Macaca fascicularis: one gene and its partners. The protein of the gene in region 1 purifies or fractionates together with the protein of each later gene. This does not show direct contact. Links are inferred from orthologs where the notes say so. Each region holds a gene or a part of one and is shown in the gene's direction. Other genes may lie near its edges.

Region 1 (4,208 bases):
TAATGAAGACAGCCGCAGGACCTGGGACTTTGTCCCTTTGTCCCTAATAAAAGCCACAGATACTTTCAGATTGCATTGCAACCAGAAACACAACTGACACTTGTCACCACTGCAAAATCACTGTGATTATTAGATCTTATTTATCGTGGTGATAAAAATAATGTTATAGGCCGGGTGCGGTGGCTCACACCTGTAATCCCAGCACTTTGAGAGGCTGAGATGGGAGGATTGCTTGAGCCTGGAAGTTTAAGAGCAGCCTGGGCAAGATAGGGAGACCCCTATAATAATAAGAATAATTATTATAATAAAATTAGGCCGGGCGTGGTGGCTCACGCCTGTAATCCCAGCACTTTGGGAGGCTGATGTGGACCCATCATCTGAGGTCAAGAGTTCGAGACCAGCCTGGCCAACATGGTAAAACCCCGTCTCAACTAAAAATACAAAAATGAGCCGGATGTGGCAGCACGTGCCTGTAATCCCAGCTACTCAGGAGGCTTAGGCAAGAAAATTGCAGTGAGCCGAGGTCGCACCACTGCACTCCAGCCTGAGCCACAGAGTAAGACTCCATCTCAAAAAAAAAAAAGTTGGGGGGACCCGGGCATGGAAGCTCACACCTGTAATCCCAGCATTTTGGGAGACCGAGGTGAGTGGGTCACTTGAGGTCAGGAGTTCGAGACCACCCTGACCAACATGGAGAAACCCCGTCTCTACTAAAAATACAAAATTAGCCAGGCGTGGTGGCACATGTCACCTGTAGTCCCAGCTACTCGGGAAGCTGAGGCAGGAGAATCGCCTGAACCCGGGAAGGCGGAGGTTGCAGTGAGCTGAGATCGCACCACTGCACTCCAGTCTGGGCAACAAAAGCGAAACTCCGTCTCGGGGAAAAATAAAATAAAATAAAATAAAATAAAATAAAATAAAATAAAATAAAATGTAAAATAAAATAAAATGTAAAATAAAGTAAAGTAAAATAAAATAAAATAAAAATAAAATAAAATAAAATAAATAAAAAAAAAACAGCTGCTGCATTTATTTCCTGGAAAGCACCTATCGCTAACGGAGATGATCCTACTTTCCAATTGTGATTACTTTCTCATCTGGGCCCCCAGCCCAGATGACTGTGGGCTCCCCAGGGCAGATGCGAGTTCTTCTGGCCCCCTGCACACAGTAGGTGCTCACACTTGCTGAACGTGACCGCAAGGGCTGGGAAGAGAGGGCACAGGTGCGGGGCGCCCCGGGGACTTTCCCGGTGCTGCGGGGCAGGACTCCGAAACCGTGACCTCACGTCCCACACCCACCCAGGACGCGGAAGGGGCGGTGCGTTTCCTTCCAAGGGCGGGAGCCGCGGGGTGGAGCCAGCGCCCTCAGCGCGCTGAGGTCTGCGGGAACCTCCGCAGAAGTCCCGGCCCCCAGGACCCCAGGACCCCAGGACCCTAGGACCCAGTGGCGCAGCCGGCAGCCCCGGATCCCTGGTAGGTGGGGAAGCGGCGAGGACTGGCCAGAGGTGGAGAAAGTGTCGGGGGTGTGGAGGGTGGCCCTGCGCCCGCGCCGCTCGCCAGGACTCCAGGCCACCTGGCCTCCCTCTTAGGGCCCCGGGGAGGCCTGGCGCCGCGCGTTGGGAGGTTGACGTTCCCCTCAACCTCCAGCTCTCCTCGCTGGTGGCCCAGATCCTCCCCCACTGTCGGGATCCTCCCCAGCACCCGGGTTTCCTCCCCTACAGCCTGACCCCTCCCCCAAACCCCAGATTCCTCCCCAACACCCAGGATGCCTACCTGAAACCCCATATTCCTCCTCACCCCAAATTCCTGAGCCCCAAGCTTCCTACCTGACACCCGATATTTCAACACCCTGAATTTCTCCCTGACACCCAAAATTCCTCCCTGACGTGCAGGATCCTTCCCCAATACCCCAGATTCCTCCCAGACACCCCAAATTCCTCTGTGACACCAAGGATCCCTCTCTGACACCCTGGATTCTTCCCCAATACCCAGGATCCCTCCCCAATACCCCAGATTCCTCCCTGACACCCAGGATCCCTCCCCAACATCCCAAATTCCTTCCTGACACCCCGAATTCTTCCCTGAGACCCAGGATCCCAACCTCACACCCTATACCACCCCACACCTTCTTCCTTTCTCCCCCTCCTAACGGTTATCCAGTCACATGGGTTTCCTCACTGTTCCTCCAGCTAGCCAGGCGCAATCCTGCCCCAGGGCCTTTGGGCAGGTGGCTTCACCTTCCGAGAGCTTTCCTCCCTGATCTCCACCCAGCCTCCTCCCTCAGCTCGTTCAGGTCTCAGCTCAATGTCACCTCCTGTCCCCAAAGGCCTCCCTTGACCACCATGGTCCCCTGTAGCCCCTTCCCAGCCAGTCTCTCAGAGCCACACAGCCCCCAGCTCATGGCTTTCACAGTACTTTTCATTCTCTGAAATGATCTTGGGTTATTTTCCCACTTACTGTTGGTCTCCCTGAACCAGACTAGGAGCTCTGTGAGAGCGGATGTGCTTGCCTTGATATGCAGTGGCACTTTGAACAGTTCCTGGACCTAGTAGATGCTCAATAAATGCATACGCAACGCATGAAAGACTGTATGACAGTGTGGGAGGAAGAGTGGGAGAGAAGAGCACGTTTCAGATGCAGTTAAAACATTTAAAAAGGACGAGGTGGGAGGATCGCTTGAGCCCAGGGGTTCAAGACAAGCCTGGGCAACATAGCAAGACTCCATTTCTACAAAAAAATTCAAAAAGAAAGTTAGCCAGGTGCAGTGTTTATGCCTATAATCCCAACACTTTGGGAGGCTGAGGCAGGAGGATTGCTTGAGCCCTGGAGCCTGGGTAACATAGGTGAGACCCTGTCTCTACCAAAAAGACAAAAATTAGCCAGGTGTTGTGCCACACACCTGTAGTCCCAGCTACTCAGGAGGCTGAGGTCGGAGGATTGCTTGAGCCCAGGAGTTCAAGGCTGCAGTGAGCCGTGACCCCACCACTGCACTCCAGCCTGGGTGACAGAGTGAGACCCTGTCTCTAAAAAAAAAAAAATGAAATGGGGGCTGGGCACAGTGGCTCATACCTGTAATCCCAGGCAGATCACCTGAGGTCAGGAGTTTGAGACCAGCCTGGCCAACATGGTGAAACCCCGTCTCTACTAAAAATACAAAAATTAGCCGGGCGTGGTGGCGCGTGCCGTAATCCCAGCCACTCAGGAGGATGAGGCAGGAGAACTGCTTGAACCCAAGAGGCGGAGGTTGCCGTGAGCCGAGACCGTGCCACTGCACTCCAGCCTGGGTGACACAGCGAGACTCTGTCTCAAAAAAAAAAAAAAGAAAGAAAGAAAGAAAGAAATGAAATTAAAAATCAAAATTTTTTTAAAAAAGGAAGAGGAAGAGAAAAAGTCTGTCAACATTTATTGTCACACTAACATTATTATATCAAGCTCTTGCTTCTTCCTGGGCACTGATGTAAACTTTTTAACCATATTTTTGCATTGAAGTTTCAAAACAGACTCCCATTCATCCTAAGTACCAGTTCATGTGGGTGTTATAAATGAGGAAACGGAGGCTGAGAAACAGACTGCACAAGCCGGCAGGTGGCAGAGCCAGAACGCCCCTACCCTGTGGGTGTTTTTGTCCCGCCAGGCGCCTGCTCTTCAGAGTGAGGAGTGGACTTTGTCCCAGCCATGGACAGTGAGAAATGAAACTCTCCAGGTCTCCAGAAGGTGGAGGTGGCAGCGGGCAGGGGAGGCGGGCAGGGGAAGCTGGGGCAGTCAATGAAATAGGGTTGAGTTCAGGCCCATGGGCAGAGAGAAGGAGAAGAAAGACCACGTGATTTTAGAGATTTGCCAGGCATACAGGTGGGGGTGGTCCTGCCTTGATGATTCTAAGTCTGACTGGCTTTGTTGTGTTTTCTGCAAAACTCCCCTGAGTCCTTGCCAGGAGGTTTCAGTCTTGCATGCTAATGTTCATGGAGCACACATGTGCCAGGCACTGCTTTAAGAGTCCTATACGGGCTGGGCGCAGTGGCTCATGCCTGTAATCTGAACACTCTGGGAGGCCAAGGCGGGCAGATCAATTGGGGTCAGGAGTTCGAGACCAGCCTGGTCGATGGCCTGAAACCCTGTCTCTACTAAAATTACAAAAATTAGCTGGGTGCCGTGGCTTACGCCTGTAATCCCAGCACTTTGGAAGGCTGAGGTGAGCAGATTGTCTGAGGT
Region 2 (3,648 bases), on another chromosome or scaffold:
CACTTTTGTCATTAAAATTTTTTTCCTGTTAACCAACAACCAAAATACATATAAATTTTTAGGAAACATCTTGTTTGTATACTGATTTTTTGTTGTGAAGCAAAACTATTTTAACCACTATAATAGAAACTGGAATTGTTTGTTAATATTGATGTTCATATAATAAGAATACAATTATAGGAACCAGTGACCTGAGACTCTACAAAAGCCTGAAGTATCTGCTACCAGGTCATCAAATAGATATTAATTCACTGAAGCGTTGTCGTTTTAACATCATGTTTATCTCAGATTTTTCTATGATTGTAATCAGTGTGAACATGTTCCCTTGTATTCTTTTTTCTCTTAATGTTATTTTACATGTGACATTTCCATGGCATTGTTCATGTCCTTAATGTAAACTTAGTATGACATCGTATGAGTATCCCATAGAAAATGCTTGCTTATATATTTATTCATCCATTCATTCAGCAAGCATTCCAGGTATAATCCTAGGTTCTAAAGATACAGTCCTAAATAATATATATTTTTGTTCTCAAGGAGCTTAATTTTATAGTATTTTATACATTACCAAATTATTGTGGGATTTTTGTTTTTACACTAACAAAATACAACATGAATACCTTTTGCCCTCCAAGAATGAAATCTTTCTTGTTTTCCAGTGACAGCAGTGCTGTGGTGCGTCTGCTGGAAGGAAACCTGTAACCCTCTCCTCAGGCTCAGATCCCACCACCCTTTCATGAAACAGTTGCTTTGGCCTATTTGATTACCTTTCCATTTCATAGACTTAATGTCACTTGTTTTAGATGAGTACCCCGCTTTCTGTAAAAGGAAGGATAATTGTGGAAATCATTGAAGGGATGTGCTACTTACATGGAAAAGGCGTGATACACAAGGACCTGAAGCCTGAAAATATCCTTGTTGATGATGACTTCCACATTAAGGTAAACCATCATCTGTAGGCTTCCAGAAAGTTGGGTGATTTTAGTTTTAATTCTCCAATGTAAACCCATTCTTGTAAACTGGAGAAGCTAAAGGAAGACCTAGCTCAGCTTATAACTGGTGATGATGGTGCTGAAGGGCTCTACCAGCGATTGAAAGGAAAGACGCAGGCTTGATGGGATCAGGAGATAACTGTCAGGATAACTCATATCTTTTGGGGAGGAGTGGAATTGAGTGGGGGAGATGAGAAGTCCTCTTTCCTAGATTGTGTTTTTCTCCTCTGTTAGAAACATTCAAAAGTTGCCCTTTACATCCTGGAATGGGCCATTGGTGCCATAATGTGTCACCAAGACTCCCCTCCTCTGGAAATGCAGGGGAATGAGGGTGCGTGCAGAAAATCTTTAGAGTTCAGATATGGCCTAAGAGTGAGATCAGCGGCCGGGTGCGGTGGCTCATGCCTGTAATCCCAGCACTTTGGGAGGCTGAGGTGAGCAGATCACCTGAGGTTGGGAGTTCAAGACCAGCCTGACCAATATGGAGAAACCCCATCTCTACTAAAAATACAAAATCAGCCAGGCGTGGTAGCGCATGCCTGTAATTCCAGCTGCTTGGGAGGCTGAGGCAGGAGAATCACCTGAAGCCGGGAGGCGGAGGTTGTGGTGAGCCGAGATTGTGCCATTGCACTCTAGCCTGGGCCACAAGAGCAAAACTCTGCCTCTAAGAAAAAAAAAAAGAGATCAGCAGTGCATCAAAAACTTCTACTTTGAAATTTTGTTTTATATTTTTATTTGATTATTTGCTTCTGTGTTTTAAAAAATCAGTTTCCTTTGAACACGTTCTTTCCATTGTCATAAAGGGAACAAGGGAAAGGGGTTTTTCTTTTGTTCATTCAAGGGCAGGATTTAGCTAGCGGGGAGTGTCATATCTAATTGGCTTTCGCAGCAGGAATCCAAGCACAAGCATCCAAAAGGGGAAGCAGCCCTGGGGGAGGCAGCCCTGGGGGAGGCAGCCCTGGGGGAGGCAGCCCTGGGGGAGGCACTCAGGAGCTGCTGACACAGGGGCCTCTCTCCACCAGCAGGTTCTACGTCTAGTGCTTTGTCCTAGTCTTGGACAGGCCTTTAAAAAAAGGCCTGGGAATAAAAATTCCTCCTTCATAACCTATCTTCAAATTCGTGACTTCCCTCTTATGTCGTGGGTTAGAATCTGTGGATTTTAGGTAATCATGTGCCACAGTTCATCCCCACATGCTCGCTTGGATTCCTGCAGGCAGAAGTGGAACTGGCACCTGTGTTCTCTTCTTCACTGCACTGCTCTGTCATTTTGCCCTGCCAACTCTGTTCTTGTTCTGCGTCTGACCTTGGTATTTTTCTCTCTGCTTTTTGTCTGTTTTTCTCCTCCTTCCCACCCCTTCTTCTCTTAGGTTCAGGCTACAGCTCAAAACAAGCAACACTGCAGTCCTTATCCTCAGCGTGTCTTTGGGATCCTTGGACACTCGCATCCATGGGCCTCTGGACGCCATTTGGGGAAATAGAAGGTGTAGTACTTAGCCACTGTCTGCTACATAAATGTGCAGAGAAGAAAATAACCATTTTCCCCCAAGCCCCAGAAATAGTTGAAAAACATATGCAGAGTCAATGGGGAATTAGAACAAATATATTTGGTTGTTACTATTCTTGTCAGAAACCTCTTCTGCTTTTCCCCTCCCCCTTATTGCATAAGGAATGCGATACCAGAATTTCATGTAACGTTTCCTGCGGGGAGATTTTACAAATGGCTGAGGAGACACACAGTTTCTATGAGTCTGTTGAGAAGTCGCCATTTTGAACCTGCCCAGTGAAACCGTTTCAGGAAAATTTACCATACCTTATGTATACTGGACAAGCCCTAGATTTAAAGTCAGATCTGATTTGCTTATGGCCTTCACCAAATAATCCCCGTGGCTCGATGTCTTTCGCAGATCGCAGACCTCGGCCTTGCTTCCTTTAAGATGTGGAGCAAACTGAGTAAAGAAGAGCACAATGAGCTGAAGGAAGTGGACGGCACCTCTAAGAAGAACGGCGGCACCCTCTACTACATGGCGCCCGAGCACCTGAACGACGTCAACGCAAAGCCCACGGAGAAGTCAGATGTGTACAGCTTTGCCGTCGTACTTTGGGCGATATTTGCAAATAAGGAGCCATATGAAAGTAAGGCATTAGAGGAGTGGGGTTTGATATGAACCAACACTGCCATATGAAGTAATGGGCTTCAGTGAAATCAGTTAAGGTTTATAATTGTTTATTCTTTTAATGTCAGTCTTGCTTGCTAAACTGTGAGTTCCGTGAGGGCAAGGACCATATCTGATTTATCCTCTGCTGTCTCCTCAGCATCTACACTCACTGTGCCTGGAACTAATAGGTGCCCAGTAAATTTTTGTTGAATGAATGAGTAATCCCATTTAGGAATCAGTGATCATAGGATGAATAGGACTCTTGATAACGTGTCATTAGCTTGAGAGATGCTGTAAAATTCCAGGGTTCTTCCTAGACAGGAAAGTTGATTGTTTCTGCTTGTGAGGACTTAGTCTTTCACACTACAAGGCATACACTTCATACTTTCACTCATTCACTTACTCCTTCATTCAAGAATTCTTTCTTTTCAGTCCCTACTGTGGGCACTTTAGTCGGCACCGGGAATATAAAGATGAGTAAGTCGTGGCTTGTGTAGGAG
Region 3 (4,181 bases), on another chromosome or scaffold:
AGAGATATTTTGTACAACCATGTTCATAGCAGCATTATTCACAATAGCTAATGTGTGGCAACAATGCAAGTGTCCATGAACAGACAAATGGATAAGCAAAATGTAGTATGTACATATAATGGAATATTGCTCAGCTTTAAAAAGGAAGGATGCTTTGATCTATACTACACAGAAATGAACCTTGAAGACATTATGCAAAGTGAAATAAACCAGTTACAAAAAAAACACATACTGTATGATTCCACTTCTAAGAGATACCTAGGGTAGTCAAAATTATAGAGACAAAAAGCAGTGCGTAGTTTCCAGGGGCTAGGGAAAGGAGAAATGGGGAGTTATTGCTTAATGAATAGTGGTGATTGTACAAAAATATGAACGTAATTAATGCCACAGAATTGTACGCATACAAATGGTCAAGGTAATACATTTTATGTTATGTTATGTCATGTCATGTTATGTTATGTGATTTTACCATAACAAGGAAAATGGGGGGAAAAAAAGAAAGAAAGTAAAACTTAGTAGTTTACGTGACTTGACCAATGCCTCGAGGCCATGAGTCACCCAGCTGAGATCTGAACTTCAGTATATTCAATTCTGAAGTCCCAGACTTTTCCCAATCTTCTTGTACTTTTCAGTGTTTCACTGGAGCTTTATTTTCAGTTTTATATGTGAGTTTCTTCACAAGAAGAGGTGGACCAAATTGCATCCTTGCAAAAACTTATATATTGAGGTCCTAAACCCCCTGCCTCAGATTATGACCATATATGGAGAGAAAGCCTTGAAAGAGGTATGTAAGGTAGAATGAGGTCATTATGGTGGGCCCTCATCCAACATAACTGGTGTCCTTATAAGAAGGGGAGATTAGAATTTAGACACAGTTGCTGACATCTTGAGTTCAGACTGGAAGCCTCTAGAATTGTGAGAAAATAAATCTCTGTGGTTTAAGCCACCCAGTCTGTAGTAATTCATTATGGCAGCCCCAGCAAACTAATACAAATAGTGTTTCCACAGCTGAAACAAAACTGGAAAATCACCATCATCCTAGAGAGTTGCAAGGGCTATTTTAACAGTATCTGATGGTTTTCCTAAATTCGCCAAGCCCAGACAGAGGTCAGATGACTTCCTGGGATAAAAGCCAACTAGCTTCCTCTTGCTGTTTCTTTAGCCACTGGTCTGCAGGCGTTTTCTTCTTCTCCTTCTAACTTCCTCTCCTGTGACAAAAGAGATAACTATTAGACAAACAAAAGTCCAGAATGCTAAGGTTGCAACTTTCACTTCCTCTCACCCTGTAGCCCAGAACTGCTTTGAATGTACCAATTGCTGTGGGGCACCGGCTTGAGGAAGAGAAGACACCAGTGCCTCAGAAACTGCCCGGTGAAACGGTGAAACGGTGAGCGAGCCACGCGTTCACAGGGCCACTGTCGCTCACAGAAGCAGTGAGGATGATGCCAGGATGACGTCTGCCTTGCGCCTGGCTGGGACTCTGATCCCAGCCATGGCCTTCCTCTCCTGCGTGAGACCAGAAAGCTGGGAGCCCTGCGTGGAGGTATGTGGCTGGAGTCAGCGCCTCTGAACTCTCCCTCACTTCTGCCCAGAGCTTCTCACTGTGTGCCCTGGTTTATTTTTGCAAAAAAAGAGTTAAATTACCTTAAAGACTCAAGAAGCCACAGAGATCAAGTAATTCATTGTTAAAGGGCACTAAAGGCAGCCAATGGGGGTTTGTTCCATTTGGAGATTTTGAGTGCTAACAGGTTTGTTCCATTTGGAGATTTTGAGTGCATTAGGTTACGTAGATCTGCGTAAGGTCCCTGCTCTGCTACCTTGTGGCTGCGTGAAAAAATTATCAAACCTGTCTGAGACTAGCTTTCGCATCTATAAGAGAATTATAATACCTTCTTCACCAGAGAATAAACAGACTGCTTCAGTGTCATTTCTTCCCACCGGTGGTCTTTACACTCAGCTTCAGGCAGTCCCCCTGCTCCTGTCAATCTCAGGAAGAAGATGGCTTTTGTGTGTGTGTCTCTACAGAAAGAACTTTCTAAGTGGGTGTCAGATTTCTGTATGCAGTCATATAGTTTAGTCCAGAGGATGAAAAAAATAAGAGAATGAAAAAGGAAAGGAGAGAGAGAGAAGAAAAAAGCAAGAGGGAAATATGTATAATATCAGCTATTGCAACAGTTTGTTTCTTGGTGAAATACCAATCAGCTGGTTGATAATCTTATTCATGATGGATCTTTTTTGTTTTTCCCCTGCACAGACTTCACAGTTGCTTTAGAAACCCATAGTAGAGCCGAACAGCTAAGAAAATGATTTACAGTGAGGCAGGGTCAGAAACTCAAGAGAGGCAAAGCCAGCTGCAGTCCTGAAGTTGAGGATATGGGAGAAAATCAAGTAATATTTAGCAAAGACTAATTCATTATCTCAAAGCCATCCCTTCCCTCAATTCCCCGCCCATAGTCCTCCTCCTTGTCTTCTTCTCTGTATCCCTCTGCTGTTAGGTTAGTGGAGATAGATTTTCTAATTAGGCTCACTGCGAGATAAAACCACAGCCAACCTTGACTTCTTCTTTTCCCCATGTACGATTTCCTGTAAGTCCCTGAAGCCTGTCCATACCTGCCCATCCCCTTCTTGCCACTGTACGGCAGGCCCTCATTTCCCCTGGCGTTGACTCTTACACAGTGACTGCTTTCCTGATTCCAGTCTTCTTCCTTTAATTCATTCTGCACGTTCTTGTTTGTTATGTATTTGCATTTGTTGTTATTATTTTTCCTTAAGCTTTGATCTAACAAATTATCTCCTTAAAAACTTTTGATAACTCTCCATTGCCATTAGGACAGGTTTCTACCACAAGGCCTTTGCACTGGCTATTTCTTCTACCTAGAATGCTAGATCAGTGCTATCCAATGGCAATATTATGTGAACCACATATGTACTTTTAAAGTTTTTAGTAGCCTCATTAAAAAAAGAAACAAGTGAATTTAATATTTTTATTTAACTTAACATATTTAAAATAATGTTTAAAATTTTAATATATATTTACCTATTACTGATATTTTACATTGCTTGTTTGGTACTAAATCTGGAATTTAGTATATATTTTACATTTACCATGCATCTCAATTTAGACTATTCACGTTTCTTGTGTTTAATAACTGTGTATGGCAAGTGACTACCGTATTGGTCAGTGCAGCCCTGGTCATTTTCATGGTTTAATCACTCCATTCAGATTTCTGCTTACATGTCCCCTCCTCAGGGCAGTCTTCCTTGATTGCCCCATGTAGAGCTCTCCAGCCTCACTTATTTGCCTCAAATTCCCTTTTATTGCTTTATTTTTTTTTTTCTGGAGCACAACATTTTATATTTTTGTTTGTTTATTTTCTCTCTCTTCCTTTGTAACGGAATTGGCAAGGACCACTATATTTCCAGTGGTCAGCACACAGTAGCCACTAAATTTATATGTGATAAATGATTGAAATAATTGCTGCAGGACAAAGTCTGAGGCCCTCCTGATCTGGTTTGCCCTCTTACTTAGGTTTCACCACTCCTACCACTCACCAGCTAATCTAAGTTTGTTTTCCACTCTTTCCATGCTCATGTTGTCCTCTCCTTACGACATGTTTTTTCTTCCCCTTTCCACATATCTAAACCTTACTCATCTTCCGAGACCCACTTTAAAATCTTCCTTTTCTGGGAAGCCTTTCCTGAATACGGACTCGATCTCTGCTTTCTCTGAACCACAGGACAAATTTTCTAAGCCTATTTTACGGCCCCTTGAGACAGTATTAGCTTTGCTCCCATCTAAACTCTTACTCTAGACTGTGAGTCCATTGAAGTCTGGAGCCACATCGTATTTTTCTTTGTAATGCCCACAGCGCTTGGCAGAAAATGTCTACAATGTGGACTTAAGTAAACCTTCATTTAATCAGTTATTCAATCAGTTATTGATTCAGCAAATATTTATTGAGCATCAACCATTTGCCAGACACCATTCTGAGTGCCGGAGACAAAGCAGTGGGCAAACCCACTGAAACTTGCAATGGAGTACAGGAGATGAACAATCCGATGGCAACAATCACATAGACAACATAATGTTAGATGGTGGTGCATCCTGTGAAAGGGAATAAAAGAGGGCAAAGAAAGAGTGCCTGGCTCTGTTTCTATTAGGCAGTACTGTCTTTGAGGCT

The links.
Region 2: the proteins of TICAM1 (region 1) and RIPK1 purify together in Homo sapiens (affinity purification with western blotting; 4 studies listed by BioGRID). This does not show direct contact. The link is inferred for Macaca fascicularis from reciprocal best matches to the Homo sapiens genes TICAM1 and RIPK1.
Region 3: the proteins of TICAM1 (region 1) and TLR4 purify together in Homo sapiens (affinity purification with western blotting; 3 studies listed by BioGRID). This does not show direct contact. The link is inferred for Macaca fascicularis from reciprocal best matches to the Homo sapiens genes TICAM1 and TLR4.

The regions. Positions count from the first base shown.
Region 1 is NC_088393.1:5,599,801-5,604,008, reverse strand, and holds the start of TICAM1 (TIR domain-containing adapter molecule 1), read left to right. Parts: upstream 1-1,357; 5' UTR 1,358-1,472; intron 1,473-4,208.
Region 2 is NC_088378.1:169,982,094-169,985,741, reverse strand, and holds part of RIPK1 (receptor-interacting serine/threonine-protein kinase 1), read left to right. Parts: intron 1-803; coding exon 804-941; intron 942-2,359; exon of another isoform or gene 2,360-2,473; intron 2,474-2,896; coding exon 2,897-3,125; intron 3,126-3,648. UniProt on the Homo sapiens protein: Serine-threonine kinase which is a key regulator of TNF-mediated apoptosis, necroptosis and inflammatory pathways.
Region 3 is NC_088389.1:40,361,670-40,365,850, reverse strand, and holds the start of TLR4 (toll-like receptor 4), read left to right. Parts: upstream 1-1,319; 5' UTR 1,320-1,450; coding exon 1,451-1,543; intron 1,544-4,181.